2 linked regions of the Callithrix jacchus genome follow. The protein of the gene in region 1 purifies or fractionates together with the protein of each later gene. This does not show direct contact. Links are inferred from orthologs where the notes say so. Each region holds a gene or a part of one and is shown on either strand. Other genes may lie near its edges.

Region 1 (16,516 bases):
AGAAAAATAGTCTAGAGTATAACACATTTGTGATCCTACAACTGCCTGCATTAACTTTTAGCAACTTTCTTCTTTATTTCAGTGTTTCATTTGGCCAAGTGGGCAAAACACTTTCCACCTCCCTGCCCCAAAAAGAAATTTATACAGGTAAAATACTGGCAAACGCATTCGAGCTCCACTTATAAAAAGTACAAAGTGCTAAAAGCATGGAGCACTCGGCTGGTGGCGGTAGGAGGAGGAAGCGGACGGGTGGGAGAGAACAGGTAACAGGATGAAGCTTGAGCCAAAATAAGTATAGGCAGAGTGGAGCGAGGGACTCGAACCGCAGAGCGGTAAAAGGGAAACAGCACCGGTCCCTACCACCGGGCAGAGGCAAGGAGATCACCCGTTGGGGCAGGGCTGACGACCGCTGAAACCGAGAAGGAATCCACGGCGGCCAGGCCCACCGAGGTTGAGGGAGCGGGCTGCAGGGACCGCAGAACCCGGGGGCGCAGGACCGGGGGCGGAAGGGGCGGCGGCTGGGCGCCAGTCGCCGAGGACCTTGGTCTGGAGCTGAGTGGCCCACTCCAACCCATTCCGAACCCTGGCGGTCGTGGATACTCGGCCTCTACTCGTCGTCCGTTTCCGGGGCCAACGGGTCCCGCCGCGGTTGAAAGACTCGGCCCGGAGGAGAAATGGGGCCTTAACCCCCTCCCCGTCGTCGGTCCCCCTTCCCTAGAGGTCACCCTCCCCTCCCACCTCACTGGTCCAGCACTTCCGGTTCCACAGGGACCGGCGTCCTCGGCACTCACCCCAGAGCTCGGTGCCCGTCACCACAGCCGTCGTTGTCACCGCCACCTCCCGGCAGTGCCGTCCGGCCTCTGAGAAGCAGCGCGCGGCCCCCGCACGCTCCACGCCCGCTCCGCTGCCGCGCGCTCCCGTCAGGCGACGCTCGTCTTGGAGCCGGCGCGCGGCCGTTGCCCTCAGTGTCGGGTCTCGAACCCTTCCAGCGTTCCCATTGGCTCCCAGGTCCGTGCTCGCGCGACGTCTCGCGCGGCGCACGTTTCTCTCATTCATGCGGCTCGCGCCGCCGCGCCCACCCCCGCTCACTCTCTCATTCACCCATAGCCCCCACCCCCATGCCGATCTGGGGCGTGCGCGCGAACCCTGGCGACCGCGGCGACCTCGCGGTCTGATTGGCTGCAGCGACACAGCGTGGTACGCACGCGAGAAGGCCAGAGCGCGCACGTAAGGCCGTGGGGTTGCGGAGACGACGAGAAGAGGATTGGCCTACTGCGCAGGAGTCAGGAATGAGGAAATGGCCAGGCGAGTCTTCCCTTCTCCTGTGTCCTGGTGTATTCCTTCTGATTCAAGCAAAAACCCTCGGAAATAAGAAAAGAATTATGTGTGTGTACTGGAAGTACTCAAAAGCAAGCAGGTACGCTCTCGAATTCAGCAACCCCTCTCGCCATGAGGTGGTACAGTCCAGACAGGCTTCCAGCGCAGCCAATTACCGACGAATCTCACCGCTTCCTGCTTCAGCCCCTTCGCGGATTGGCCAACCGTTTGGTGACTAGGCTTCTTTTCCCACCTCCCTTTTTTTTTTTTTTAATGGCGAAAACTTTATTTGAAACAATTTTGCTGGAGAAATGTTCAGTCCGGTGAGGTCGCTGGTCCCGGCAGAATACAGGGTGATGGAATGGTCTGGGCTGTACAGAAGGGGACGCCTGGACTTGAAGAGCCAGTGTGGGGCAAGACTCGTGCCAAGTGCCGGGGAGGGACACGAAGAAGAGCCGTAGCTCTAACCGTGAGAGGGAAGCCTTAGGAACGCGCGACTTGAGGCGGTGGCGACCCCTCCACCTCCGGAGTGCGAGCTGGGAAGTGGATTCCCTTCATTCCATTAGTTTCCCACTCCCACAACTGGGATGGGCGCCCGCATCCCTCACCTCACCCAATCCGAGAATACAAAGTTAAAAGCAAAAAGTTCTCTAGAATAGCTCCTGTCCCCAGCGATCTAACAATGCTTAGGTCACTGTGCTACACTTTGCCCTAATTAGCCCAAGACAGCTGTGAACGCAATAGCAATGCCACGTGTTCTCTCCCCATTCAGCTCGAGGCCATTTCTTTTTTGGGAAGTAACTGGCTATTACATAAAGGCCCCTCAAAAAGGTGTTTAAGGAGCCACTTCCCTGAAGCCGAAGCCCTTCACCTGTAAAATCCTGGGCCTTGTTCTCGGGTTTGGTCTCAAATGTTGCTTGCATTACTGTGGTTCTGGCACTTTAGCATTAGACAGCAAGGTAAAGGAGAACTAAATTCGCCAGTTTTCTGGAGTCTAGTCTAGTTCCTTCCTATACATGGCGTATATTATCAGTTCTAGTTTATTCTTGTTTTCTGTTTTTGTTTTTGAGGTGGAGTTTCGCCGTTGTTACCCAGACTGGACTGCAATGGCATGATCTCGGCTCACCGCAACCTCCGCCTCCTGGGTTCAAGCAATTCTCCTGCCTCAGCCTCCCGAGTAGCTGGGACTACAGGCACGCGCCACCATGCCTAGCTAATTTTTGTATTTTTAGTAGAGACGGGGTTTCACCTTGTTGACCAGGATGGTCTCGATCTCTTGACCTTCCGATCCACCCGCCTCGGCCTCCCAAAGTGCTGGGATTATAGGTGTGAGCCACCGCGTCCGGCGTTTATTCTTGTTAACGTCATTAATCCAGCATTTATTGCAACACACTTGAGAGTTCTTTATAACGACTTTGTATTTTTGTTTTAAAGAGACAGGGTCTCACTATGTTGCCCAGGCTGGAGTGCAGTGGCTATTCACAGGCGCGATCCCACTACTGATCAGCACGGGAGTTTTGACCTGCTCCGTTTCCGCCCCCCCTTAGGCAACCTGGCGACCCCCGGCTCCCGAGAGGTCACCATATTGATGCCTAACTTAGTGCAGACACCCTATCGGCATAGCACACTACAGCCCAGAACTCCCGGGCTCAAGCGATCCTCCCACCTCCGCCTCCCAAGTAGCTGGGACTACAGGCACGCGCCAGCGCGCCCGGCACGACTCTGTATTTTTAAAACTCTTTAGATTTGGCCAGGCGCGGTGGCTAACGTCTGTAATCCTAGCACTTTGGGAGACCGAGGCAGGCAGATCACGAGGTTAGGAGTTCGAGACCAGCTTGGCCAACATGGTGAAACCCCATCTCTACTAAAAATACAAAAATTAGCGGGGCGTGGTGGCAGGTGCCGGTAATTGTAGCTACTTGGGAGGCGAGGCGGGAGAATCGCTTGAACCCAGGAGGCAGAGGTTGCAGTGAGCCAAAATTTTGCCACTGCACTCTGGCCTGGGCAACAGAAAAAGACTCCATCAAAAAAAGACAAAACACCTCTTTAGACCATGTGAAAGGTAAATGTAAGGCATTATTGACGATACAATATTGGGATTTTATTTTTTGAGAGAGTCTTGCTCTGTCACCCATGCTGGAGTGCAGTAGCTGGTTCTCAGCTCAGGCAACCTCCTTCTCACAGGTTCAAGCAATTCCCATGCCTCAGCTTCCCAAGTAGTTGAGATCACAGGCGTGCACCATTGCACCTGGCTAATTTTTGTATTTTTAGTAGAGATGGGGTTTCGCCATGTTGGCCAGAGAGGTCTGGAACTCCTGATCTCAAATGATCCTCCTGCCTCGACCTCCCAAAGTGCTGGAATTACAGGCATGAGCCACGGTGCCCAGCCTGATATTGGCATTTTCTGTCTGTAAATCATGTTTCTTTAAGATGAAGTCAGATTTCATTTTTCTGTTCCATATTTTTCTTTGATTTTAGGACTTCCTGATTTCCTCCACTTCACAAATTAGGCATTTTAATTTTCCTTTCAGCTGTCTAATAACTCGTAAACAATGGTGTCTCTTGGCTAAAGTGCTAAATGGGGAAAAAAAATCAGTCTTCCACCATCCAACCAAGCAAACTATCCTGAGATACTAGCTTGATTGCCAGGTGGATGAACACTAACAGAGGTATAATCACTATCCCGAAGTGGAGAGAGAGATTCCACTGGTCCAGTTTTCCTTGGGATCACTTGAAGTATTTCTTGGAAAGAACATTTAATAGAACATAAGGTTTGAAGTGCCAGCTACTTCTGAAAAGTATCCAAAGTAAAATCTGGCTAAAACAGTGGGATATCCAGACCACCCAAAGTTCAAATTACTTTAATATGTTTATCGATTAATACCTTAGAGGTTTTTTGTTTTGTTTTTTGTTGGTGGTTTGTTTTGTTTTGTTTTGTTTTAGTGACAGAGTCTCCCTGTGTCATCCAGGCTGGAGTGCAGTGGTGTGATCTTGGCTCACTGCAACCTGGGCTCAAGTGATTCTCCTTCCTCAGCCTCCCGAGTAGCTGGGATTATAGGCACGCATCACCACACACAGCTAATTTTTGTATTTTTAGTAGAGACAGGGTTTTGTCATGTTGGCCAGGCTGGTCTCAAACTCCTGACCTCAGATGATCCACCTGCTTTGGTCTCCCAAAATGCTGGAAATACCAGCATAAGCCACCACAGCCAGCCTGTTTTGTTTTTCTTTTTTGAGACAGAGTCTGGCACTGTCATCCAGGCTGGAGTGCAGTGGAGCTATCTCAGCTGACTGCAACCTCCCACTTCCATTCTCAAGCAATCCTCTGGCCATTATGTAATAGCCAGAGTTACTTTCCAAAAAAAAAAATGGCCTCAACCTCAGCTTCGTGAGTAGCTGGGACTACAGGTGCATATGCCACCATGGTTTGCTAATTTTTTAAGATTTTTGTTTAGTTGAGGTCTCACTATATATTGCCCAGGCTGGTTTCAAACTGCTAGGTTAAAGCAATCCTCCTACCTCAGTCTTCCAAAGTGCTAGAATTACAGGCATGAGCCACTGCACCTGGCCCTTTATAGTTTTTCTAGTGTAGCTTATCTGCACTTCTTCCAATTGTCTTCACTTGCATTTTCTCACGCCTATAGATGGCAAACCACTGTGTCATTTTTAGTTCAACTCACTAGTAAATAAACATGCAAACAAGAACAAAATGCTGCCTGGGGTTTGTTTAGAAGCAATCAGAGAGGAATGCCCTGCTTTTCAGCAACAAACCAACCAACAATCTTTTTATGTATGTTTGTTCGTTTTTGTTGAAACGGGTTCATTCTTGTCACCCAGGCTGGAGTGCAGTGGCACAACCTAGATCACTTCAACCTCTTCCTCCTGGGTTCAAGCAATTCTCCTGCCTCAGCCTCTGGAATAGCTGGGATTAAAGGTGCCAGCCACCACACCTGGTTAATTTTTGTATTTTTAGCAGAGATGGGGTTTTACCACGTTGGTCATGCTGGTCTTGAACTCCTGACCTCAAGTGATCTGCCCCTCTCGGCCTCCAAAAGTGCTGAGATTAAGGCATGAGCCACCCAACTCAGCCTTTTTTTTTTTTTTTTTTTTTTAAGATGGAGGCTTGCTCTGTCACCCAGGCTGGATATGTGGTGGTGCGATCACAGCTCACTGCAACCTCCACCTCCCAGGTTCAAGCAATTCTCGTGCCTCAGCCTCCCAAGTAGCTGGGACCACAGGTGCACACCACCACACCCAGCTAATTTTTGTATTTTTAGTAGAGACGGGGTTTTACCATGTTGGTCAGGCTGGTCTTGAACTCCTGATCTCAAGTGATCCACCCACCTCGGCCTCCCAAAATGCTGGGATCACAGACATGAGCCACCACACTCGGCTGAGACCCCCATCTCAGAAAAAAAAGGACTGAGACACAGTGTCATTCTGTCACCTAGAATGGAGTGCAGTGATGCAATCTCAGCTTACTGCAACCTCCATCTCTCGGGTTCAAGGGATTCTTGGCCTCCCGAGTGGCTGGGGTTACAGGCATGGCCGCCACCCACTGCACCTAGGCCAAAAATTCCATTCTTCACCCTGAGTTACAAAAGCCCTACATTATCCGGTCCTTGCTGCCCTCTCCATCCTCTGTTTTAGTCTCCCTTAGTTCACTATGCTTCAACCATACTGGATTTTCTCTTCACCAAACTCATCAAGCTTGTTCCTTTATTAGGGTTTTTTTCACCAGGAAGGTTTTGCCCCAGACTTCACACAGCCATTCAAGTCTTAGCCCAAAATGTGTGCTCAGGAAGGGCGTTTCCTAACCACTCAAAGTAGCCTCCATTCACTCTGTCTTAAATCCCCCAAATTGAAGCCTCTCTATAGCACTTGCCTTTTTAAATTTATTCTATAATGTAAGCTCCATAAAACGTTTTTCCTGACAAACAGTAGGTCCTCAGCAAATATTTATGGAAAGAAGGAATCGATGGACAGCATCAGATACTTATTAAGTAATTCAAGTCCAAACCAGGGACACCAAACTAATTTGCAAGAGATCAAAAAGAATGGGCTTTCCCAGCTTCTTACCACCTGAAAGCTCAAGTTACACCTTGACTTAGGGCCTAGTTCCAATCAAATAGACAAGAAGGATAGCTGTACTGGAGAGGAAATGAGCTATCTCTGGAAAATAATTAGATATGAAATCTTATTCCAAGATTATCACCAGCTTCTAACTCCCCATAGTAAATCCAGCACTGACAGCAGATTTACCATTTACCTAAGCGCAGAGGCAAGGGTAACTATCATTAAGAACTCACTTGGCTCACAGGTAGGTTTCTTGGTTTTGCCCTCCTCTAAGCATTTTAGCAATAAATCATTCCAACAATGTTTCTATAATGCTTAGGGGAAAAAAATAAATTACACCAACTTCTATGATATGGCAAAAATATATATTAATTTTTCTAAGTTTGAACTTTATTGGAAAGAGTCCCTCTAATTCACACTTTCATTTTAGATAAATGAGTAAGTACCATATGTGGAATAGAAAGCAGTGATGTTTAAAAACCACATAGTAACACAGTGAAAGAAATGTAATTCTCCAGGGTCTTGGAGAATTCAAAGTGGTATCTTAGGCTAAGAAACCAATTACAGTCTCATGGTTTTCCTTTTGGTTCAAGAATAGAAGAGTCAGGTTACCACTACCTGTTTTTAGAGGTAGAATATATACTTTCTACTAGTCCACAGTTTACTGGTCAGGTGGCCCCAAAAGAGTCTCTCAGCTCATCTGCCTCTAGGATGGCCAGATCTCTAAGTCCCAGGCAGCAAGGCTTCCTGCTGATCTCTACTTTAGATCCATGAAGCGGATGTCCATGATGAGAAGGAAATTCTTAGGCAGTGGGCGGGGGGCTGGAGACAGAACAGTAAACACCTGATGCTCCAGGTCCACACTGGTCACCACAATGAAGCCAGCTACACTTGTCTCAGACAGGTTCTCCTCTGTCCCCTCAGCAGTGCTGACACTCAGTAGGTGGTGCACCATATCTCGGCCAGGAGTGACAGGTACTAGCTTAAGCTGATTATCCTCCTGAGACATGCCCAAAGGTAAACAGGAGTCTGGGATGGTGGGTGCCCCAACTTTGTAGATTTTCACATCTGAAAATTTCACATTGAAAGCATGGGGATAGAAACAGCCTCGAAATCCATAAAAATACTCACGGATACGCTCATCCCTACATTCCCGCCGGAAGTCCTTGGAGCGTTCCACCACACCCCCAGATTTAGGGAGCAGCACGGTGCGTACAAAGTGGGGGAGGTCCCGTTTCAGTTCATTGTACAGTCGTTCTTGATCCAGAACCACAACGACATCCACCTCAAAAGCTGAGGCTGCATGCACCAGAGCCTGATAACCAGAGCCCTTGACCCAGCCACAGGTATTAATGACACAGCCACTCACAGATGCCCTTCTGTTCACTTCACACCTTTGGTTGAACACATCTGCTAAACGAGATGTAATCTGCAAAAGAGAAGATCCAGGTAAGAACAAAAACACCCAGAAAAACCCATGGCTACTTTGTTCCTCTTTAGAATAAGTGCTATTAGACATAAGAAAAATGATTTTTTTTTTTTTTTTTTTTAAAAAGAAGTCTCACTCTGTTGCCCAGGCTGGAGTGCAGTGGCACAATCTCGGCTCACGGCAACCTCTGCCTCATGGGTTCAAATGATTCTCTGACCTCAGCCTCCCGCGTAGCTAGGATTACAGGCATCTGCCACCACGCCCAGCTATTTTTGTATTTTTAGTAAGAGATGAGGGTTCCCCATGTTGGCCAGGCTGATCTCGAACTCCTGACCTCAGGTGATTGACCAGTCTCGGCCTCCCAAAGTGCTGGGATTACAGGCATGAGCTACTGCACCCAGCTTGAAAAATGACATTTCCAATGTTTGTAGTTTTGACCCCATAATATGGATTTAATTTTTATGTTGCTACTTCTGCCTCCTGTTTTACACCCTAGGTGGAAATCTAACAAATTACAAAGAATAGATCCACAGAAATGTTTAACAATCTGAGACTGACTTATATTTGGAACTGCCTTTTCTGAAAGAATGCAGCAGAAACAACAGCTGAGAAAATACAGCTTTAACTAATAAACTTCCCCACAGTTTCCTACGCTGATAACAACCCTTCTCTCCACCCGACCTTTCTCTGGCTCTGACCTTATTATAAAGCTTGATGTTGGTGCCAGGAGTGGTGGAACCAAAATGATACACAAGAGGAGCCTGGATAGAGAAACCCTCTTCCACATCTGCAGGCCGCTCAATGTAGAGGGCCCCCATGGTACCAGGGATGGACACGGAACCCTGGCCCACATCCAGCTCCACATAAGTGGGACGGCGGCCCAAACGCACTGCATAGTTGAGCAGAAGGCGACACACTGTAGACTTGCCCACATCAGTGGGGCCCACTACCATCACTCGGGGGCCTCTCTCTTCTTCCTTTTCTGCTTGCCTCCGCATCTGTTCCAAGGCTGTGTGAGTGTTAAGGTAAAGCAGCATAGGAGTGTCCTTGGAGACATAAGCCACCTCAGTGCGGCCGCTCAGTTGCACAGAACAGCCATGCCAAGTGAAAACAGCCACCTTGGCACCAGCATCAAAGGTGAATTTCTTGTTTCGGGTCAGCTCTGTGCCAAAGATCTCTGCCATGCCAGTCAACAACTCCAACTGAACTGACTGAGATGCCTCCACCTCAAAGCGAAGTTCTGTTTCTCGCTCTAGTTCGAATTTAGTGGTTGGCTTCTTGTCATCATTAGCCTCTTCCCCCATCTCTTCCGTGTAGCTGCTGCACCTAGAACACAAATTAAGTATCAGACCTAATTATAAGTGAGTCCTCTATTAAAAATCATCCAATGTGGCCAGGTGTGGTGGCTCATGCCTGTAATCCCAGCACTTTGGGAAGCCAAGGTGGCTGGATCACTTAAGGTCGGGAGTTCAAGACTAGCCTGGCCAACATGGTGAAACCCCGTCTCTACTAAAAATTTAAAAAAAAATTTTTTTTTAATTAGCCAGGCATGGTGGTGGGTGCCTGTAATCCCAGCTCTTTGGGAAGCCAAGGCAGAAGAATCGCTTGAACCCAGGAGGCAGAGGTTGCAGTGAGCCGAGATTGTTCCACTGCACTGCAGGCTGGGCAACAGAGCAAGACTCTGTCTCAAAAAAAAAAAAAAAAAAATCATCCAATGGGCCGGGCACAGTGTCTCAGGCCTGTAATCCTAGCACTTTGGGAGGCTGAGTTGGGTGGATCCCTTGAGATCACCAGTACAAGACCAGCCTGGGCAATATGGTGAAACCCCGTCTCTACAAAAAAGGTAAAAAGTGGCCAGGTCTGGCAAAAAATGGCTCACCCCTGTAATCGCAGCACTTTGGGAGGCCAAAGCGGGTGGATCACTTGGGGTCAGGAGTTCGAGACCAGCTTGGCCAACATGGCGAAATCTCGTTTTTACTAAAAAATACAAAAGTTAGCCAGCCATGGTGGCAGGCACCTGTAGTCCCAGTTACTTGGGAGGCTGAGGCAGGAGAATCGCTTAAACCCAGGAGGCGGAGGTTACAGGGTTGTAGTGACCCGGTATCTCACCACTGCACTCCTGCCTGGGCAACAGAGCGGGACTCTGTGTCAAAAAAAAAAAAAAAGGAAACAAACCAAAAAACCAAACAAACCAGGCAATGAATATTTCCCCTTACCTTGCTTTAATTCTCTCCATATCTCTTATCACCATCTGTCTCACTATATATTGTGTTTTCCCCGCCCCCACCCCAGAATGTAAGACCTTACCCCCTCCATCACTCTATTGGTAAACGCCTGACTTAAGAATATAACAGATGCCCACACCCCATCCATCTTAGTCAACAGGAAAGGGTGTCTGCAATACGGATGCAAAGCAGAGGACATCAGGTTTGAACGCAGAAAACAGCATAAGCCTCGATTCTGCAACTACTAGTAGTATCTTTAGAGACTCACTTAACTTCTTTGAACCTCTGAAGCTGTCGACTGGAAGCACAATTCCTCAAGTACTGTGTTCTTGGGGTTTATAGGAATTGTGGGAGGAAAAAAAGCACTTCGTAAACTAGAAAACGACAAGGAAATGATACGAATTATTTCTGATCCTGGACCGCAGCTCTAGGTTCGGCATTTGTCCCAACCTCCCCAGACACCAAAACCTCCTTAGACTCCAAGAAGGCGACAGTTGCGTTCCTGCCCTTTTTAAACTCACCTGCACAGCCAGGAGCCCAACAGGTAAACCCAGAAGGTCCTCCCGTGCAGAACTTAAACCAAACTACAAGCGGTTCTTGTCCGTACCCACGCCGGAAACAAACGCAGTTCCGCACTCGCGCTGGGAAAGGACACGCGATAGCGCGCTGCCCCTTGGGACGTGTAGTTTTCCGGAACAACCGAGAGCGGGTGCCCTCTCTCAGCCGCTCGGCCTTCTGGGAGTTGCAGTCAAAGGATTGTTTTGAATGTGACGCCAAAGGTGGGAGGGGCGGCGGCCGACATTGTTCAGGAAGCCGGCGGGGATGGGTGAGGAGGCGTGACCGTTGCGACCCCGCGTTGGGCAGAGACAGGTCCGGGGACCCGGCTTCTGCAGTGAGCGTCAAGCGGCGGGATCTCGCCCCAGAGTTCCTGCTCTCCTGCAGCCCAGAAAAGGGAAGAGCGGCCCGGAAGAGAGGGGGATTCACCGTCTAGGCCCCCAACGGCCTGCTTGCCTGGACAAGCCACGAACCACAAAATCTTGTTTGGGAAGGGGGAAAACTAGGGGTAGGGAAAGCGGAGGAAAACAGCCCGACAGAGGCTGCATGGAGCTGTCATCTCCCACCTGACACAGTGCTTGGCACATGGAAGGCATTTAAACATTTTTTTCTTCAATGAAAAATAAAAATCCGATGATTTCTTCCAGCTACAAATCAGTCATTACCCAATAATCTTCTCTCTCCCACAAAACGAGGATTTTTGTTGGAGACTCATTTGCCTCCATAAATCCCTGACAGTTACAGAAGGTCAGTCTTTTGCTCCGCAGCCAACAGGTTCCACCACGTCTGTAATCCTCTTTTTACTAAATTGGGCTTTGGAATTTTATATTATTTGCTATACTGCTTACATCACTGTGTGACTTTGAGCAAATTACAGGCTTCATCTCACTGAGATCATTTTTTTCTTTTTGTTTTTGAGACAGGGCCTCGGTCTCTCGCCCAGGCTGGAGGACAGTGCCACGAACATGGCTCACTGCAGCCTCGACCTCCTGGGCTCAAGCCTGACCGTTTTTTGTCTGCAAAGTGGGAATAATAACAGTGCCCAACCTCTTAAAGTTGTTTTGACCATTGCAGGATTGTGCCTGTAAAGTGCTAACTACAGGCAAAAATCTGATCTCAGCTTTTACGTTTTTTTTTTTTTATAGGCTGGGGGGAAGGGGCTATAATACCATTCATTGGTGCAATACTTACGGTCTTTCAAACCCTTTCAGGTATCTTCTTTCAAAGCCGCCCTGTAAAGTCAGCTTTCTTGTATACAATTTCAGACGGGGGAGGAGGCTAAGATGGTGCAGGGATTAGCCAAACGAATTCAGTCATTAGTAGAGCTAGGACTCAAACCCAGAGTTTCTGAGTCTGAGTCCAGTTATAATAATAGTAAACATTAAAAAAAAAAGGAAAAAAAAAGTAGACATTTAGGCTGGGTGCGGTGGCTCACACTTGCAATCCTAGAGCGAGACTCCGTTTCACAAAAACACACACACATTTATTATTGTTAGACCTTTTTCAGGCGTAAATTCATTTAATTATCACCAGAATCCTATGCAGTACGTACTGCAATTGTCATCTCCACTTTACAGGTGAGTACTTTTTTCAGTCTGGCTCACGTAGTTAATTCATATTGAGGAGACTGGGAAGATTTTCTGGTTCGCCAGGAAGATTTTCTTCTGCTGGCCCTACTTAGCAACACTCCCCAAGCAGTGCTATCCTCACATGTCACTTCCGAGTTTTCTCTGATGGTTTGCTTTAATTATTTCATTCATTCAACATGTATGCATTAGGTTTTGTTGTTGTTGTTTGAAATGGAGTTTTGCTCTGTGGCCCAGCCTGGAGTGCTGTGGCACGATCTCGGCTCACGGCAACCTCTGCCTCCAGGGTTTAAGCAATTCTCCTGCCTCAGCCTCCCGAGTAGTGGGATGACAGGTGTGCATCACCATGCCCGGCTAATTTTTGTATTTTTGGTAGAGACGAGGTTTCACCATATTGGCCAGGCTGACCTCAAGTGATCCACCCAGTTTGGCCTCCCAAAGTGCTGGGATTACAGGTGTGAGCCTCCTCGCCCAGCTCTTTTTCTCACTTTTAATCTTTCAGCAAGCACTCCTGCCATTTCTGCCCCACCCCCGAACAATACTGTCATCAAAATGTTCATATTCTCCTCTCCTGCTAGATTCTTGATCATGTTTCCTGAGTTGATTTAAATTCATTGGTATCCTTGCTTCCAAATTTTCTTTTTAAAAAAAGTTTTTTAAGACATAGTTTTGCTCTTGTTGCCCAGGCTGGAGTGAAGTGGCTCAATTTCGGCTTACTACAGGCTGCACCTCCCAGGTTCAAGCAATTCTCCAGCCTCAGTTTCCTGAGTAGCTGGGATTACAGGTGCCTGCCACCAGGCCCAGATAATTTTTGCATTTTAGTAGAGACGGGGTTTTGTCATGTTAGCCGGACTGGTCTGGAACTCTTTACCTTAGGTGATCTGCCTGCCTCAGCCTCCCAAAGTTCTGGGATTACAGGCCTGAGCAACTGCACCCAGCCTGCTTCCAAACTTTCAATCCCGGCTGGGCCCTGTGGCTCTGCCTATAATCCCAGCACGTGGGGAAGGCAAGGCAGGCGGGTCACTTGAAGTCAGGAATTCAAGACTGGCCTGACCAACATGTTGAAACCCCATCTCTACTAAAAATACAAAAATTACCTGGGTGTGGTGGTGCATGCTTGTAATCCCAGCTACTTGGGAGACTGAGGTGGGAGACTTGCTTAAACCTGGAAGACGTTGCAGTGATTTGAGATCTCTCCATTGCACTCCAGCCTGGGCAACAGAAGAAGACTCCGTTTCAAGAAGAAGAAGAAAAAAAAGAAGGACTGGGCGCAGTGGCTCAAGCCTGTAATCCCAGCACTTTGGGAGGCTGAGGCAGGTGGATCATGAGGCCAAGAGAATGAGACCATCCTGGTCAACATGGTGAAAACCCCGTCTCTACTAAAAATACAAAAAATTATACGGGCATGGTGGCACGTGCCTGTAATCCCAGCTACTCAGGAGGCTGAGGCAGAAGAACTGCCTGAACCCAGGAGGCGGAGGTTGCGGTGAGCCGAGATCGCGCCATTGCACTCCAGCCTGGGTAACAAGAGTGAAACTCCGTCTCAAAAAAAGAAAAAGAACTTTCAATCCATGCCCTGAAAACTAATCATCTGCCTTTTCCCACTTCTCATTGTTCTCTTCAACAATGGCTCTTCAAATTTCTACTTTTATTTCCTTTCTCTTCTGCTGCCCAGACAAGAGAGCACTTCTCGCTGCTTTCTTTACCTAGCTTTTTTTCTCAATTTCACACCTGGTACTCCCTCAAGATACCCACGTTGTCTTTTCAGATTTACTTTAAACCCCAGAATCTTCCCTGATTAAATATTTAGAATACCTTTTTATTTTCATGCTCAACCAGCAATGTCTCCCATTACCCACATTTCCCTGCCTTACATGTGAGAAGAAAAACAAACCACCCACAAGCACTGCTTTCTACAAGTCCCTATCTGTGTCGCATTTCACTTGCTAAATGCTAGCCTCTGTTAGAAATCAGGGATTTTGTCTTAGGGGATGTGTTTTGTGTTCACATACTTTAGTAACATGCACAGGACAGCACCCCATGAGAAATGAATTCTGAGTCAAATGAAATTCAACTGGAAGCTACTAGAAAAGTAGCAACAAAAGATGTCATTTCTTCATAAGACAAAAATTTAGCATGTGTCTCTTGAGATATCAGAATTTAATAATAAATCCTCCCTGGGTTTTGGGGGTCATACATTGAGAATACTGTTTTGGTTTCCTTCTTTCTTTCTTTCCTTCCTTCCTTCTTTCTTTTCCTTTCTTTCCTTTATTTGCTTTTCTTTCTGATGGAGTCTTGCTGTGTCATCTGGCTAGAGTGCAGTGGCGCAATCTCGGCTCACTGCAACCTCAGCCTTCCAGGTTCACGAGATTCTCCTGCCTCAGCCTCCCAAGTAGTAGCAGCTGGGACTACAGGTGCACGCCACCACACCCAGCTGATGTTTGTATTTTCAGTAGAGACGGGGTTTCACCATGTTAACCAGGACGTGCCCAGCCAGTTTTTGTTTTGAAGGAATCTCCTTTTATTGCAACCTCTGCCTCCTGGGTTCAAGTGATTCTGCTGCCCCAGCCTCCTGAGTAGCTAGGATTACAGGCACATGCCACCATGCCTAATATTTTTGTATTTTTAGTGGGGGGGGGGGGGGTTCACCATATTAGCCAGGCTGGTCTTGAACTCCTCACCTCAGGCAATCTGCCCGCTTCAGCCTCCCAAAGTGCTGGGATTACAGGCGTGAGCCACCCTAGAACGCTGTTTGAAATGACACTACTGTTTACTGCCTATCATGCGCCAGAGGCTTTTCAGGCATTTAAATGTTATCTCACTTTAGTTTGCATCTCCAGGAAGTAAATATTATTAGCTTCATTTAGCAGAAGAGGAAGACTGAGGCACAAAGATTATCAGTAATTTGCCTAGTGGTTCCTGCTGAGTAATTAGCAGAGCTAAGATCCTAATTCAGTCTCTTTGAGACCAAAGCCAGACACTTGGTTCTTGTCTGAAGATGCAACTCAACTGCTGTATTAATCAGTGTTCTCCAGAGGGACAGAGCTAATAGGATAGATGTATATATAAATGGGAGTTATTAAGGAATATTGACTCAGATGATCACAAGGTGAGGTTCCACAACAGGCTGCCTGCAAGCTGAGGAGCAAGGAAGCCAGTCCGAATCCCAAAGCCCAAGCACTTGGAGTTCGAGGGCAGGAAGCCTCCAGCACAGGAGAAAGATGTAGGCTCAGAGGCTAAGCCAGTCTAGACTTTCCATGTTCTTCTATCTGCTTTTATTCTGGCCAAGCTGGCAGTTGATTAGACTGTGCCCGCGCAGATTGAGGATGGGTCTGCCTTTCCCAGTCCATTGATTCAAATGTTAATCTCCTTTGGCAGTACCCTCTTAGACACACCCCAGAACAATACCACAACCCAGTCAAGTTGACAATATTAACCAGCACAAGTCCACCTCTTGTCAACTTAAACGCATACACGTCTCCTGAAATCGTACATAATCTTCAGATAAAGACTATAATAAGGTCATAATTCTCTTAACATTATACAGCTATCCTTCATACAACCGGAAACACACCAGTCCCCAACCCAAATACTATTAAATAGAGATAACAACACTTAAATGTTGACATGAAGTCAGTAAGTCCTATCACGATAAAGGCAAAAAAGAAAAGTAAAATGGAGATATTTTCTTAGTACAAGTGTATATATGCACAAACATGTTCGTACCACAAGAAGGAAATATTCATGACAATTACGGTCCCCGGTTCTGCAGGTGGTCACATGGTCGTAGCTGGTATTGATGACTACCTTCTTCTACTACCCATTCTGTATTCCCTTTGCCTTCAGCAAGCACCTCAGCAGGTTGTGGTTTTTTACCTGGTGGGGTGACCCAAACCTTCATTCCTGAAGGGTCTGGGTCGTTTGCAGTCCTGCCTGGATTGGGCTGTTGTAGTTTCCATTGACCTTACTCACAGGGCATGGTAATACTAAGAGACACCTTAATGGATCTCCTGTATTCCACGCATGCTCTTCCTTACCTCCATTGTGGAGTAGTAGACTGATTTCATCTTGACAGTCTGGGTCAGTCACCCCAACCAACACTGTAATTCCCTTACTAGCCTGTTGACTTAAAGTAAGAAGAGCCCAAAGTATCCAAGTGGCAATCCTAACTTCCAGTTTAATGGAATCGTTGTTGTGTCTCCCGGTGGCAGCGTTCCTCCCTCTGGAACTAAGACCTCTAGGCCAGCAGAAAATAATGTCGTGGGAAGAACTGCTGTTTTGGAAACATGTACATGCAAGGGTCTGTAGTAGGCATTGCAGTCCTGGAA
Region 2 (16,416 bases), on another chromosome or scaffold:
AGCTTTTCTCTTTATCTTTTTGACTTTCAATAGTTTGATTAAAATGTAGAATTCTTTGTGTTTATTTTAGTTGTTGTATATTTAGCATTTTGTACTGGCAAATGTCTCTCATTAAATTTGGGGAAATTTTGGCCACTCTTTCTTCAACAGTTTTTTTCTGTCCCTTGTTTTTTTCTACTTCTGTTATTTACATGCATGTTGAATCAAATCTCTGTGGATCTACTCACTTTTTAAAGATAATTTTTCTTGTTGTTGTTTACTTTTAATAATTTATATTGCTCTATTTCAAGTTCCCTACTTTTTCTTCTGTAATTTCTTTCTGGCTGTTAAATTAACCCAGTTAATTTTTTTATTTTTAAAATTATAATTTTCAATCTTCAGAATTTCTATTTGGTTTTAAAAATCTTTTTTTTTCTTTTTTTGCTGAGATTTTCTGTTTGTCTCTTGAGATTTTCATTCATTGAAAACATGTTTTACTTCATTGAAATTGTTTTAATGGTCACTTTAAAATCCTTATCTGTCAGTTTCAACTTCTGATTCATCTCAGGGTCAAACTCTAGAGTATGCAATCCATTTTCTTGAATTTCATATGTCAGATAATTTGGGATAGTATACTGGACTTTATGAGTGTTAAGTGGAGAGTGTGGATTCTATTATTTTTCTCTGATAAGTGTTATTTCCTTTGTATTCGTAGGTAATTTTTCTGGCTAGATTTTAACTGCAAACTCTCTCCCTTTGGAGACAACTCTGATCTCAGTTCAGATTTTTTGTCTTTAACTGAGCTGCTGTGATTCTGTTTTGAGTGGTTCAGGAGCTCTCAGAGATGTGGATTGACAGAGTTTGGGGATCCACTCTCTGATCCTTCCTTGGGATTTCTTAACCTCTTCGGAATTCAAACTATTCTGGCTTCACTTTTCTGCTTCCCCAGATAAGAATAACCAATAAGTTTTATATACACACACCTGCTGCTGCTGCTGCTGCTGCTGCTGCTGCTGCTGCTGCTGCTGCTGCTGCTGCTGAGCCTAACTTCTGGACTGCACTTAGCCCCAAGTTAAATGCCAGAGAGGGGAATGTTCTTGTGGAGTTCCTCATCTTTAAGCAAGCTTGCCCTTCCTACCAGTCTGCTGTTCACTCTCCAGTATATTCAGCTTTTTGTATTGTGTTCAACTTGTTTTCTGCTGGGGATGGTCCAGTAGGGTCTTAGCCTATCATGGTTGAAAGTTGAATTTCTGTCCTGCCTGGAACTTCGGATTTTGAGTCATCCTTGTCTTGGTAAATGCGATAGCCTCCTCACCAGTCCCTGTTTATGTCCTTGCTCCCTACAGTCCATCCTCAACACATCAGAGTGATCCTATGAAAACATAACAGGAGCCTCCAACAGTTTCCCATTTCGCTCACAGTAAATAAAAAATGCTTAAAATGTGCTACTCTGCCTGCCGGAAACTCCTCATCCTTGGCTTCCAGATCACATGCTTGTGCCAGTTTGTATCCTAGCTTTCTGAACACTCATTCAGCAACTCGTGTTTCCTCTAATACTGAAACATGGGTCCAGCCTGTAACTACGGTTCTACTTCAAAGATTTTTGTCAAGGCACTGAGTAAGGCTTTTCCGGTTCTCAGGAATCAGAAACCAGGACCCCACTGTTAAAGGCAAAGAGAACGTATACATCCCCCAACTTTCTCAAAGAACTATAGGCAGCACTGACTTAAAGAGGATTAAGAGCTTCCAGGCGCGGGCTACTCTTGAATATTTTTCAGGCTAGAACTTGCTCGGATTTGAATAAACGCAGAGCAAAACTAGAGACTAAACTAGAGAGCGTTCGCGCAGGTTCTTACTACCTTGGTCAGAAGGGGGGGCTGACGCAACTTTCCTCCCAGATTCAGAGCCTTCTCGTGCAACCACGGCGAGTCTCGAGGAAGCGGAACCCACAGGCGCGCGCGCAGCTGTTTCTGGCCGGGCACGGGTCGCGGTGCACCACGGGAGTGCCAAACCGGCTGCATGGAGGAGCGCGGCGATTCCGAGCCGACCCCCGGCTGCAGCGGCCTGGGTCCGGGCGGTGTTCACGGCTTTGGCGACGGCGGCGGAGCTCCCTCGTGGGCCCCCGAGGACGCCTGGATGGGCTCCCACCCTAAGGTCAGGAGGCGTGAGAGGAGCAGGACGCCGTCCGGGCCCCTAGCCCAGGCAGAACTCCCGGGCTGCCCTCTTACTTTCTCCCTCAGCGCGAGAGCTGAGGATGCGCCCCACCCTCACCGAGGTGGACCGGTGTGCACAGCTGCCAACCTCAGGCAGCATCGGTTTTGTTTGTTTAAATTAGTTGAACTATTCGTTCCGACACCTTCCCCAACCCGCCACCGAAGCCATTCTGGAACCTAGGACCAGACATTAACTCCACCCCTCTCGAGCCGGAGATTCCTAAGAAGCGTTCCATTAGTTTTGCTCTCTAGGTAAATCCCCTTTCCGGGATGAATTCATTTAATCCTCACAGTAACCATGCAAGACAGTTTGTGGCCGATGGATAAGCTCTAGGGGTCCATAATGGTAAAGATTTAGGCACAGTCATATTTACATTTAGCTTTGGGTCCAGAGTACACCTTTATTTTGCAAAGGTGCAGATTCCTAATATTTCAGATTTCTTTGAAAGTTTGAATAGGTTCTTACCCAAAGCAGAGCTACTCACATTTTACTTGTATTTTTCTACAGTAGCAGGAAGGGAGATAAAGATAGTCCCCTGCGTGCTTCTGCTTGAGACATTACTGCCTTGTCCCAGTAAGGTTCCAAGCAGTAAATAGACAAGTGAATGGAGATGTGAGTTTTGTAAAAATCTCAAAAACTGGTCTGGTCTGATACTTTATTAGAATTGTACTCTTCTCCTAGAGAGCAATAATTCATAGATAATAGTCTAAAAACGGAAAAATTTGAAGGTATATGTTTGAAAAGAGTTAACCTTTTTCAGCTTCTCTTGCTTAATTTTATGTTCCTATGCCGTCCCCTTCATTCTTCCAAAAGGTGAGAAAAAGAAACAATAGTATGGAAATACTTAGTGCCATGAAAGAGAAACAATAGCATGGAGAGACAGCATAACGGTTAGGAGCATGAACTCAAAATCAGACTCAGTTTAAATCTTGATTCTGTCACTTATCAACCTTGTGATTTGGGACAAGTTGTTTGATCCCATTATGCCTCAGTTTCCTCACCTGAAAAATGGGGATATTAATAGTCCATACTTACAGGGTTGCTACAGGATTAAATTAGTTAATATTTGTAAGCCATTCAACATATAGAAAGCACTATAAAGCACTTAATAAGTTAAACACCAGTAACAAATTTTTAAAACCTTATCTAGATTTGGTGTTGTTACTCAGTTTACATACTTGTAGAGTTTTTTCATTTTGAAGTTAATGGCTGTGTACATACACCATGACCATCAAATCTCTCCTTTTGATTTATCTTCTTGAAGGACCAAAATGATTTTTAAAAGAAAAGGAAAAGAAATAATAAAGTAATAGGGGGTGTTTGTTTTTCCAATTTCACCTTTTTGTTCATTCAAAAATTACATAGGTTCATCCAGTAAAATGGTATCAGATTTATTATCCTCAAACACACTTTTATTATTCTCTTGCTTAGAAATCCTCAGTGTTTCCTCAATGACAAAAATCACGTTTAGCTTAAGACCTTGCAGCCTGGCTCAAAATTATGTTTTGAGTGTCACTTTCCAACATGTTTGAAGTAGACAACTAATAACCCATATCCTCCTGTACCTGTGCAGTTACAGTGAAGCTGATGGGAGAATGTGACTTAGGACCTGTCCCCATGCAGGTCTGCTAGTACTTCACCTCAGCATTAGCCCCACATATCCACCTAGTCACCAGCATAGCTGGGCAGCTTCAGAATTCTGCAGGTGTAGGCCCCTGAAACACGTTTCCCTTATGCTGATCAGTTGTCTGAAAGAAGCAGCTTTCTCTAGTTTCTTGTCAATCCCCTTTTAAAAATCTAATGATTAAATAATTCCGTACTCTTAAAGTGCGAAAGAATGGGTAGAGAAGCTAGGACTGATACTGTGGCAGACTCTCTCCACAGATAAATAAGAGGCTAGGGAAATACACAGTACCTACTAATAGGTCCCAACGTAAATCTTATTAAAAAGGTTTCTATTGCTGGGAGATAGGTTTCTTTACAGTCCCTTGAATACGTGTGACTTAATCCCACCTTTGTGTGATTACCTGCACTATTACTCAACTTCTCCATTTACTCAAATGATAATGTTCTGTGCTCAACTTGTATCCTATCCTGCCTCTGCTGTAAAGCTTTCACCAGTCCCTCTGAGTAGAGCTCTTCTGACCTGTCGTGTCATGTTTCTTATTCCATTTACGTGGTTTTTAATCACGGTCATATATTGTTATTTGCCTAACAATGTTAAGTACGCATGTATTTAACAATCGCAAGTTCTTTAGAGACAGAGATAATATTTTATATTGCCTTTTAACTTCCACTATACCCAGAAGAATTTTATGGATTATATATACTTAATGACTGACTACTTGTTGATTGAAAGAAAATATTAAACAATTCTTCCTTCTCGATTTGACAATTATATTTTAATTTTCAGTATTTAGAAATGATGGAATTAGATATAGGAGATGCCACCCAAGTTTATATAGCATTCTTGGTTTACCTGGACCTCATGGAAAGTAAGTTGTTTGTTTATACTGTTTTGTTATTGGGACTGTGGTAGAGGTTTGGGGGATTGGATTGGGATATATATAGCATTCTTCACATTATAATAAGCAATCTTATATGCATTTGCTGTTAATTTTGTAATTTCTTCATTTATTTACATTGGGAATTACTGAGTAATAGAAACTACTAGAAAAGCAAAGAGAGGAGGTAGTGTTATGAGTGATATTTGCTCAGCTGAGTTTTAGGCAGAAGTTTGGAGTTTTTATCTTTTGATTTTAATAAACATTATTGTCCATTCAATGATGCTCTTTCAGGCAAAAGCTGGCATGAAGTAAACTGTGTAGGATTACCAGAACTTCAGCTCATCTGCCTTGTTGGTACTGAGATAGAAGGGGAAGGGTTACAGACTGTGGTGCCTACCCCCATCACTGCTTCCCTCAGCCATAACAGGTGAGCAGGTGATTTTGGTTTAAGTTCCTTTCCCAAGTAAAGAAGTAGGAAACATTAAAGGTAGCGATACAGTATTTTTAAAGAAGTTTGGGATACAGCAACCATAGCTTTACTCTTGGCTATTTGAGGAATAAGTTAAATATGACTGTTGTATTCAGCCGTTCTTGCATTACTATAAATATCTGAGATTTTTTTTTTTTTTTATTTCTTTAAAAAAAGGTTTATGGGACTCATAGTTCTGCGGACTTTACAGTAAGCATGCTGCTGGCATCTATGTGGCTTCTAGGGAGGCCTCAGAAAGCTTATAATCATGGCAGGGGATGAACCAAGAACAGGCACGTATATGGCAAAAGCAGGAGTGAGAGAGAATGTGTTGAGGGGGAGGTTCCACACACTTTTAAATGGCCAGATCTCACAAGAACTCATTGTCCTGAAGACAGCTCCTAGCCATGAGGGATTTACGCCCATAACCCAAATACCTCCCACCAGGCCCCACCTTCAACATTGGGGATGGCAGTTCAACATGGGATTTGGGCAGGAACAAATATACAAAGTATATCAAGGATTGAACAAGTATTTATTTAGCACTTACTCTGTGGTCAGTACTTTTTCAGAGACGGTATGTATGGTAGAAATATTAGCCTTATGGAAGTATTTATATTCTTGATAAGGAAGCAAGACCATTACATTTGAAATAATAGATATTATAAGATATACCATGTAATAGAAGTCATACTTGATATAGGAGTTGGTAAAGAGCATGATTAACATTAATTGAAATCAAAGAAAGTTTCATGTAGTTTATGGGACCTTTTTTTAAAAAGCTTAGGTACACAGCATTATATTAAACATGTCTTTGTTTCATGACGTATTCTCATTATTAGTTCATGCTTGGTTTTTATTTATTTACTTAGTTATTTTTAATAATGTTGTAAGTATCTCTGTACCCATCACCCGAAGCAAAACTAGGTTCTTGACTATAACTAACATCTAATCTTGTAAGTCCCTTAACATGTTCTCACTGACCTGAGGTAACTGTCATTCTGAATTCCATGTTTATTGGGAATTTTTAAATTTTAGATATTTTTAACTTCAATTTAAAAATCTTGTCTTTTATGACTGAACTTATACACTTAATATTATATTGCTAAAATTCATCCATTGTTGTGCCTTTTTTGGGCTGCCATATAATATTACATTGTGTGATTATACCACCATTTTCACATCCACTCCCTTGATGATGGAGTGTTGCTAATGTTTGACTTTAGGAGGTAATTTCAAACATTTTCAAATTGGTTGCCTCAATTTACTTTTCACCTGCAATGTAATCAAGACCCTTTGGAGCTGTATTGTCTCTACGTTGAGTATTGTCAGACTTTTAAATTTTGCCAACAGAATGGATTATTCTCATTGTGGTCTTAATTTGCCTTTCTCTCATCAATCATAATACTGAATATTTCTTAATATATGTATTATTTATAAGAAACATCTGTTCATTTCTTTTGCCTATTGGGTTGCCTTTAGTTTTCTCATTGACTTCTATGAATCTTTATATATTCTTGACATTAATAGTTTTTGATTGTGTTTTCCAGTTTTTAAATCTTTCACTGTCTTTAAGGTGTCTTTTAATTAATAATAGTTCTTAATTTGAATATAATTATATTTATCCATCTTTTATAATCAACATCTTTGTGTCTAGTTTAAGAAATATTTTCTATCTAAAGGTCTAAAAAATATTCACCTATATTTTCACTAAGAGTTCCATTGTTGTTGTTTTTAATGGTGTGAGAGGAGGTTAGGGATACCATTGTCATATGGATAACCACTTTTTCTACTTCCATTTACTGAATAGTCCTTCCTTTGCTCATTATCTGACATATCACTTCTGCTGTTTTCCAAAGTTCTAAACATGCATTAATTTGTCTCTGGGTTCACTGTTATATTCCATTAGTCAGTTTATCTGTCCTTTTGCCAATACCACATCTTCTTAATTGCTTGCTCCATAAGAAGTCCTTGTATCTGGTTAGCAAGCCTCCCTATGCGTTTCTTCTTTAGAAGCTGTGGCAGGCAGCTTCTAAGATGGCTTCTCATGATTCTGGTATTCGCTCCCTTGTGTAACTCTCTTCCCTTGAGTGTGGCCCAGACTCAGTGACTTCCTTCTAATGAATAAAATTTGGCAAAAATGATGGGATGTCACTTCTAAGATTAGGTTACAAAAGACTGGCTTCTGTCTTGGGCACTCTCTTGCACTTGCTATAAAGGAAGCCACCTGCCATGTGAGCTGTCCTGTAGAAAGTCCGAAAATAGAAAAAAGATGGCAGTTATTGATGGATCAAGATTCTTGAGAGATGAGGAAGGATGGATTCAAGAGGATAGTGGAAGAGAGAAATATTGAGCATGTTGAGGGGAGCCTTAACCTCCAAAAGTGGGGTATGGAAGAAATATCAAAACATAGCTGTAGTTGGGTGGCATATAAGATGATTATTAAATTCCAGCAGGAATAGTGTTGATGAATACTTACTTTTTTTCTAGTTGACTGTGACTGAATGCATAGCATTCTGGTAGAAAGAGCCCTAAACTAAAATCTTAAGACCTGTGTTCTACTCTTGGGACTGACACTTAACATTTTGTTTGATGGTTAGCAACACACCTAATTTCTCTGGGTTTCCATTTCCTTGTCTTTTTGTTGTTGTTGAGGGATTTAGATTACCAGTATATGTAAGATCCCTTCCAAATTAAAGCTACTGTAATGTAACTGATTATTTTCATTGTGCATTTTTCATAAAGCTATATTAAACTAACTTGCATATTTCTATGAAGTATTTTTTGTATTTATGATTCATAATGATAATTGTTTTTTAATATACCAGACTATTGATATGCTTCTTTGAGGAGCTCCTTACTGTGAGTTTTTGTGTGTGTGTGTTTGAGAGAGTTGTTAGAGTTGACATCAAATTTAATCACTAGTATCTTCTGGTTTTTACTAGCATGATTTCCAAGCCATCCTACATCCAAGAGTCTTAATTCATTCCTCATAGATTATTCTTTCTGTCTTTTAATTACTGTAACAAATATTGTCCTAGCTAGTATTAATGTTATATTATTTGTTTGGACAAAGAGATACTATTTGAAATTAACCTGCATTTATTCCTAAAAAATAAAATTAATGAAATGAAAGCAATAGCCTATTTTAATCAAAATCATTTCATAAGTCTAGAAGTACAAATTTGTTTCTATTGTTAATTTCTAGTATTTTCCAAGTGGTAATTAATGCTTTTCTAGCTTGAATGGCTAAAGCTTGTTTTCTTCTTTGAGCAGAATTAGTTGGAATGATAATTTGGTAAGGCATTTTGATGCTCTTACATTTCACTGAGAGAGCTTAAATCTTTTTGTCTTGTTTTTATATAAATATTCTTAACTATATTATGCAGTAGAACACTAATATAGAAAATAGCACAAATGAGGCCTGATGCATACTAGATTTATTATGCCTTTTAGGGCATACCATTTTCTCAACTCAATCTATTCAAATAACTTTTGTGTATGTATATGTGTGTATGTGTGACTTCATTACTCAGTCTTTAACAGGTACAATTTTTTAGATAGTAGGCATTCTTTTGTCTATTTTTACTTTTAGTGTACTTTATGTTATAAAATATTATATATCTAATAGTAATGCTGCAATTCCAGCCTTTCATAGTTAATGTGGGAATTTTTCTGTGTTAGTAACACAGAGAAGAAAATGATTGACTTTGAATCTTTGATATCCTTGTATTGCAAAGAAATTCACTGGAACATGTTCTAAAAGTATTTGGTGAGAAGATGTAAGGGTAACTCGCCATGAAAGAAAAAATACTTTTTATTTAAGATGAAAACAGTTTTTACTTATTCAGTGATAAAGCATCTATATAAATTAGTGATTCTGTTTTCACTTTTAAATATTATTGTCAGATAATATTGCTTGGGCTTTTTGGTCTTAACAAGTGTTTATTGAGTGACTCTCATGTGTCAGGCAATGATCTAGATGCTGGGATACCATGATGAACAAGTACTTTCATGACATCCTCAAGAAAGTAGTATTCTAGCACTGAAGATTAGCTTAGAACATACATTGTTTCTGGCTATTTTTGGATGGAATCTAAAAACACAGAATTGCCCTTTGTTCAGATATCTAATTCAGTGTGTGATTTGGGACTGCCTTCACTTATTTTGTAGCTAGATAATTGAATAACAAGGATAATGGAGTACTGATAAACACTTTAACAGGAACATATACAAAGTAACATCAAAACCCAGAGGAAGGACAGGAAAAGTCTCTTTAGCCAGTAAAAGACCATGGTTTAGTCGGGCAACTGCAGGTAATTAAGCATAACTGCCTGCCTAACATGGTGTCTCGTCAGAGTAGGTATCTAGTAATATTCCTTAAGACAGCAAATGAATAAATTAATGAGTGAAATTTCAGAGAAAAGATGGAAAGGATGGAAAATTAGATGTGAAACCTTATTTAGATTATGAAGACCATCATTGTTTTTACTTTTTTGCTATTGCTAATGGTATTCTAATGAATAGCCTTGTGAGTACCTCCTTGTACTCATATATGAGAGTTTCCCTAAGGAAGATGCCTAGAGGTAGAATAGCTGGGACTTTTTTTTTGGAGACAGAGTCTGGCTCTGTCACCCAGGCAGTAGTGCACTGGCATGGTCTTGGCACACTGCAACCTCTGCCTCCCAGGTTCAAGCAATTCCCCTGCTTCAGCCTCCTAAGTAGCTGGGATTACAGGCATGCACCACCACACCCAGCTAATTTTTTGTATTGTAGTAGAAACGGGGTTTTACCATGTTGGCCAGCCTGGTCTTGAACTCTTGACCTCAAGTGGTCTGACTGCCTTGGTCTCCCAAAATGCTGGGATTACAGGTGTGAGCCAATCCACCTGGCATGTCACTTCATCTTCACTGGTTATTGCTAAATTGTTTCCAAAAGGATTATTACCAGTTTACATTCACACTTACAATGTGTAAGTTTTCACATACTGGGAGAAGATTTATAGCATGTGCATAACTGACAGAGATTAATTTAGAATATATAAATAGCTTCTGGGACTTCAAAACAATTCCCGATGGGAAACCTGGGCAAAGAATATGAACAGGCAACTCACAGAAGAGGAACTCAGATGCTCAAATCTGTTTGTAAATCAAGGAATTATAAATATGTGTGTTTGTCTGGTTTGTCTTAACTTTGAAGAAAATTTTCAGATAGTTTGTTTTTATTGTTTGACAAAAACAAGATACTGTTTAATAGGGAACTTTTGAACAGAGCTACAGCTAGCACTTAGAGTATCTTTGAACAATTTAGAAAAAGGAGCTCTCTCTTGACGTACAAAGAAAAAATGTCTCTTCAGTAAGGTTCAAGGCTTGGCAAACAGTGAAGGGCAGATTTTAGATCCACTTGTGCCAGGTACCCTTGCACAGAGCACAATCTACATATCTGTACATGATGCCCTGCACCTGAAGCATGTCTCTGGAGCCTTAGGTTTCCACAAAGAACATTGTGAAAATTACTACTAAATGCATGATGTCATTGAAGGGCTTTAAGCAAGGAAGTGAGACTATTATTGTTTATTCTATGTGGTTTTAAGAGTACTTTGCATTTGCAGAGAATGTTATAGAGTTTCAAAGTATTTTAAAATATTCAAAATACTTTAACAAGTAGACTTTCATTAAGTCAGCACCAAAGTCCCTAGTGGTATATAGGGTATTTGTTTTCTCCTAACTTTACATACGAAAAGCTGAGGTTAAAAGTATATTTTTACTTGTACCCCCACTTTTTCCAAAAGATAATAAAAGATCAATTGAGCTGTACCAAGATCTCAATTAGTCTCATAGCTATTGGAATTTCTTTTGCTTTATTGGTTTTTAAAAATATTTTATTGTAAATGAAACCAGATACAGAAAACCACACAATACCAATATATAGATTAATGAGTTATCATAAGGCAAACATCTAGAACTCTTACAATTATAACCAAGTTAAGAAATAGAACTTTTCCAGGCATCCCACTAACTTTTCAACGTGCCCCATCCCAATCATAATCTTTCTTCCCCAAAAAAGTAGCCATTATTTTTTCTTTCATAATAATAATGGGCTTTGGCCCATGTATTGTTCCCAGGACCTCTTAGCTCTAACTTTGTCTTTTGACTCTCAGTCAAGAAAGAATGTTGGAATGTCAGCCATGAGACTGATAATATATTATCAGGAATATTAGTTTTATATTTAAAAATACCCTGCCAACTTTAGTACTCTATTGTTAGAAATAAATTACTTGCCACATACTGTACAATCAACCTTAGCACACCAGTTGTAAATCAACATTTTAGACTATGTTGCTTAGCTGCTTGAATATAGTGCTTTAAAAAATACTTTGTATTCCTCTAAAAACCTTAAATAACATTTTTATTAGTAGGAGAGTTGGGTAGCATACATAGCTGTAGAGTGAGGAGTTGGTAGTTTGCTGGAGCTACAGTTTCTTCTTATTTACAAAGAGCCTATAGCACATAAGGCCTGATAACTGTCTCTTTTGTTGAAGGAAACAGTTTTTATAATCTGTTGTTTGTAAAACTGAACCAAACTCTGTCAATTACATAGTTAACAACTTAGTTATAAAATATTTCCCTAGTGATGACAAACAATCTCACTGTTTCAGTGCCAATTGACTGTTAAGTGGCAGAGTGGCATATATATTTATATAGTTTATTCTATTATTTACTTTATGGTGTATATGTATTTTCTGCCTCCTTAAAAGGCAATCATTCTAGGCACTGTTTAATGTTATATCTGTGTGCTTTTCTAAGAAGGCCTGAACAGTTTTTAATATCTGCTTCCCACTTACTTTCCCAGGCTTTAGACCTGGTGATTTTGTTTACATACTTTGTGACAAGAGTGTAGACAGATCCCATTACAGGGTAAATGTGTATTTGAATGACTGTGAGTGAATGCATTACTTTGAGCACAAGTGCAGGTTGTGATTAGCGTTTTCTGTAAAGCTGTTACATATAATATGTGATCACAGCTAAAACACTTTGTCACATTTTTCAAGTTTCAGAAGGTCTTGTGTATACTAGTCCTTATGAAAATATTGATTTAATGTTATTTCCTTATCTGTGATGGGAGAATAAAATTGGTAAAGTGCCCATTTCTGATTATTTTTTCTGATTATTTGGTAGGAAAATTATGCTGATGGAGTATGAAGTGATTAATTGCTAGTATTTCTTGTTTGATCTAAAAATACTTCCTAAAGCTAGCGTAAATAATTTTTAGTTTGCATTATAATGCTATATAAAGTTGTGTATCCATACAACTTAAGCGTGGTATCCATATGGAGAGTATTCTAGATTGTTTCTTTGCTAAAGTGAATTTAAGGAATCCGTGTAGCACCTTCAGTAAATGACTATAGAGGTACGGTTTCCTCAGACACAGCAATGGTATAAAATCATATTCATAGATACACAGAGATCAAAGAGATCTGATGAATTTAAAGATTAGGCAACAAGAGGAGTACTAATTAAAACTAGTGACCTATTTTTTCTTTCTGAGATGGAATCTTGCTCTGATGTTTTTCAGTGCTAAGATTGCAAATGAAGTCAAATTTATGTTCAGATAGTTTGATTAACTTCACTTTGGACCACCTTGGGTCTATTGGTGTTTGTTGAGTGCCTTAAATGGTAGAAGTATACCATACCAAAGTTAGGATAATAGTATTACAATTTTCTGTAATAGTAGCAGTACTATAGATTGTTGCAAATGGGAAAATATCTTAAGGAACATATATAGGGACTTAAATCATAAGGGAAAAAATGGTTTCCTAGTGTTTTAACTACTGGTAGAGGTTTCTTTTTTCCCTCATAGACCCTATGTCATCTCCCAATTCCAATGTAAATTTTATTTCTTCAGTAAGATACAAGAGGTGGGAAAACCTCAAGAGGTGGGAAAACCTAAGTTGACATATTTTAAGCTCATCTGTGGTTATAATAAGTTTTTTAAAAAAGCTGAGCAAAGTGAAATGTCTTATATATACAATTATAAAATCAGTTAAGATACTGCTTTCTAAAACTATTAATCTTCCTTTTTTTTAAACAAAGGATTGTAGTTCCTTCCTTAGTAATACATTAATCATTCATCCTTTCAAATCTGACTAAATTATAAATGGTTCTCTCCTCTCAGTGTCAGAGAAGAATAGTGGGTAGGAGAATGGAGCCTCTCCAATGACCATTTTAGCCCCCTAGGAGCACAAAATGGTCCCTTAACTAAAAATGTTATAAATGCATGTAATTATACTTTTTATTTAAATATATTGAATATAAATATAATTACATACTATCTAGAGGCAAAATTTGGTTTTAGGATAGAATAAAAAGGTAAATTGCAAATTATTCCAGTGTTTTCTAAATTGCTTATTTATTTATTGCCTGCCTAGGCTCAAGGGGTACAAAATATCATAGACTTTGCCTACAAGGTGCTCAAGTCTAGAGCTGTGATGGACAGACATTTACATCCAGTGTGATAAACATAATAACATATATGTACGGGGTCCTGAGGAAGACCATAGAGGGAAGAGACTGGTGGGATAAAGAGAAAGTCTGGGAAAACTGACTGCAGGGCATGTTTGAAATATGCATAGGCACTTAATATGGATCAGGGATGGGAATGGACGTCCTGGTCAAAGTAATAACATGAACAAGGTATTGAGGGCTGAGAGAACCTGAAATTTACCAGTAGTTCATTATGACTGGGTATGTAGTAATGGCAGAGAGAGTACTTGCCTGCAGTTGGTGAGAAAGCCCTGGATTGGTGTCAGGTGGGTGGGGAAGGAGTGAGTATGTGTGATACAAGAGAGATGAGAATGGAGGAAAAAGGAGGGGAGGGGAGGAGAGACAGACATAGAAAAAATATGAAACAAACAAACAAACAAAAAAGCTCTCCTCCTGGGAAGTAACAGCTCAGGAGAAGCAACCTCTTAAGGATTAAGGAAGTCAAAGGTAAGAGAAAGTTAGATCAAGAGTTTTGTCACTGCGAAGTCTTTAGGAAATCCTGAAACAAAGGTGGGAGAATTACTTGAGTCAGAATATTAGGAATTGTAATGCTTGTTTCTATTTTCTGTAATGGATACAAATTAAGTGTGCAAATCTGTAAGGATATAGGAGATGTTTAGCTATTAATGCAAGAACCTAATTTGAGGATTTGAGGAGGTTAAGTAACCCTTTTGTTACTTGCCATGTTTTGGCCTCATTTGCTGAACCCTTTCAGGTTTCTGGCGTCTAAATGTTAAATGACCTACAGCTCAGTCATCTGAGCTTTTCTCTTCATTATACTCACTCCCTAAGCAGCCTCCTCTGGTTCCAAGGTTTTAAATATCATTGATATACCGATGACTCCCCAATTTTTATCTCCAACTCATCCTCTAACATGAACTTCAAACTCATATGTGAGTCTACTAAAAATATAAAAAATTAGCTGTGTGTGGTGGCATGTGCCTATAGTCCCCGCTACTTGGGAGGCTGAGTAGGACATGACAGTCACTTGAACCTGGGAGGTGGAGGTTGCAGTGGGCCAAGATCGCACCACTGCACTCCAGCCTGATGACAGAGCAAGACTCTCTTTCTCTCAAAAAAAAAAAAAAAAGAATATCTGCAAAATCCATCCATTTGCAGAATTTTTCACCATTTTCCATACTTTATACTGTAACCATGATGTGCATCTGAGAACAGAGAACAATCACACGTCTCACGTCTCAAGAAGCAATCTGCCAATGCTGTGAATAGCCTCTTTACTTTTTAGTTGAATTATTTTTCATTTATATTTTCTCTGTCCTTTCATTACTCTTTTCTCTAGTGCTTTGGGAAAAGGACTTATATTAATTTTAGAGTAAAGGGTTACTAGAACTGAATTATCTCTTTAGAACATTTCTGAAGATAGTCTTAGTTATGAGATTTAATCCTTACATGCTCCATACTTTCCGGAAGGACCATCCATTATTATTTCCCTGTAATTGAAAAATATTTCCAGCTGGGCTCAGTGGCTCACACCTGTAATCCCAGCATCTTGGGAGGCCCAGGTGGGTGGATCACAAAGTCAGGAGTTCAATACCAGCCTGGCCAACATGGTGAAACCCCATCTCTACTAAAAATACAAAAATAACCCAGGTATGGTGATGCATACCTGTAATCTCAGCTACTCTGGAGGCTGAGGCAGAATTGCTTGAATCCGGGAAGTGGAGGTTGCAGTGAGCCAAGATTGCACTACTGCATTCCAGCCTGGGTGTCAGAGCAAGACTGTCTCAAAAAAAAAAAAAAAAAAAAGAAAGAAAGAAAAAAATGTTTCCACTTTCTGAGAGTGTAATCCTTACTACAAATTCATTTAATGACTGCTATTTTGAGTCCTAAAGTCTTATAACTGCAAAATGACTTCTGTCATTTGGCTTCTTGGCATATTAGGATGTGTGTCCTCACCTTACCTCTTGGAAATCTGCTGCTGGTGAAACCCCCACTTCTGGCAGCTGCGTTTAACTGATTATAGCATTTTTTTTCTCTTACCCTTAAAAAAAAGCTTGCAGTTTATTACATAATGACTTCCCACTGGAGTGGATACCTTGATTGTTCAGTAAACCCCCTTAGAATTTTAGCTGCCTTGATTTTTTACTAGGAAGGCATTGGCATAAATTTCAAGGAGATGGTCTGTTATCTCTGAAATTTTTCTTTGGGACTGAGCCTGTGGATGAATAAGTCTTCTGTTGCATTATGTTTAAGCTTATTTTGCATTATGTTTCAGAGTTGCATTATGGTATGCCATTCCATTATATCATAATGAGGCAGATCAAGAGATTACTGCCTTTTACTGAAAAGGTTATAGCATATATTATTTGGCCACAGTAGGAGGAGAGACTTTCTATGGGTTAAAATTAATACTGCTTTTGACTCATGATACGTTCTATTTCAATAGCATTTGAAGTTAAAAGTAATGTAGTCTTCAATTTCTTGTCCTTTTTGTAAATCTCCAGAGATTACTTAGTCTCTGTTTGAGAATAATTACAGAAAAATCAGTGCCAGGCTTTATGGAAAACACTTAAATAGCTTGGACTAAGGGGATTAGCCAGATAGTGTTAACTGTGTATTTGCTTCAGGCTTGTTTTCAAGTCAGCTATATGAAGGTCTGGGATCACTTTCTTCAGTACACAGAGCTCCTCTATGAACAGTTATGAGAAAGAAAAACCTGCTGTGAGCATCAGATGTTGTTACT

The links.
Region 2: the proteins of CLP1 (region 1) and TSEN15 purify together in Homo sapiens (affinity purification with mass spectrometry; 4 studies listed by BioGRID and IntAct, counting the BioPlex papers as one, with this or other methods). This does not show direct contact. The link is inferred for Callithrix jacchus from reciprocal best matches to the Homo sapiens genes CLP1 and TSEN15.

The regions. Positions count from the first base shown.
Region 1 is NC_133511.1:115,233,185-115,249,700, reverse strand, and holds CLP1 (polyribonucleotide 5'-hydroxyl-kinase Clp1), read right to left. Parts: upstream 10,668-16,516; 5' UTR 10,569-10,667; intron 10,422-10,568; 5' UTR 10,316-10,421; intron 9,149-10,315; 5' UTR 9,127-9,148; coding exon 8,521-9,126; intron 7,823-8,520; coding exon 7,151-7,822; 3' UTR 6,766-7,150; downstream 1-6,765. UniProt on the Homo sapiens protein: Polynucleotide kinase that can phosphorylate the 5'-hydroxyl groups of double-stranded RNA (dsRNA), single-stranded RNA (ssRNA), double-stranded DNA (dsDNA) and double-stranded DNA:RNA hybrids. dsRNA is phosphorylated more efficiently than dsDNA, and the RNA component of a DNA:RNA hybrid is phosphorylated more efficiently than the DNA component.
Region 2 is NC_133519.1:42,222,998-42,239,413, forward strand, and holds the start of TSEN15 (tRNA-splicing endonuclease subunit Sen15), read left to right. Parts: upstream 1-1,966; 5' UTR 1,967-1,998; coding exon 1,999-2,133; intron 2,134-4,606; coding exon 4,607-4,688; intron 4,689-4,991; coding exon 4,992-5,127; intron 5,128-16,416. UniProt on the Homo sapiens protein: Non-catalytic subunit of the tRNA-splicing endonuclease complex, a complex responsible for identification and cleavage of the splice sites in pre-tRNA. It cleaves pre-tRNA at the 5' and 3' splice sites to release the intron.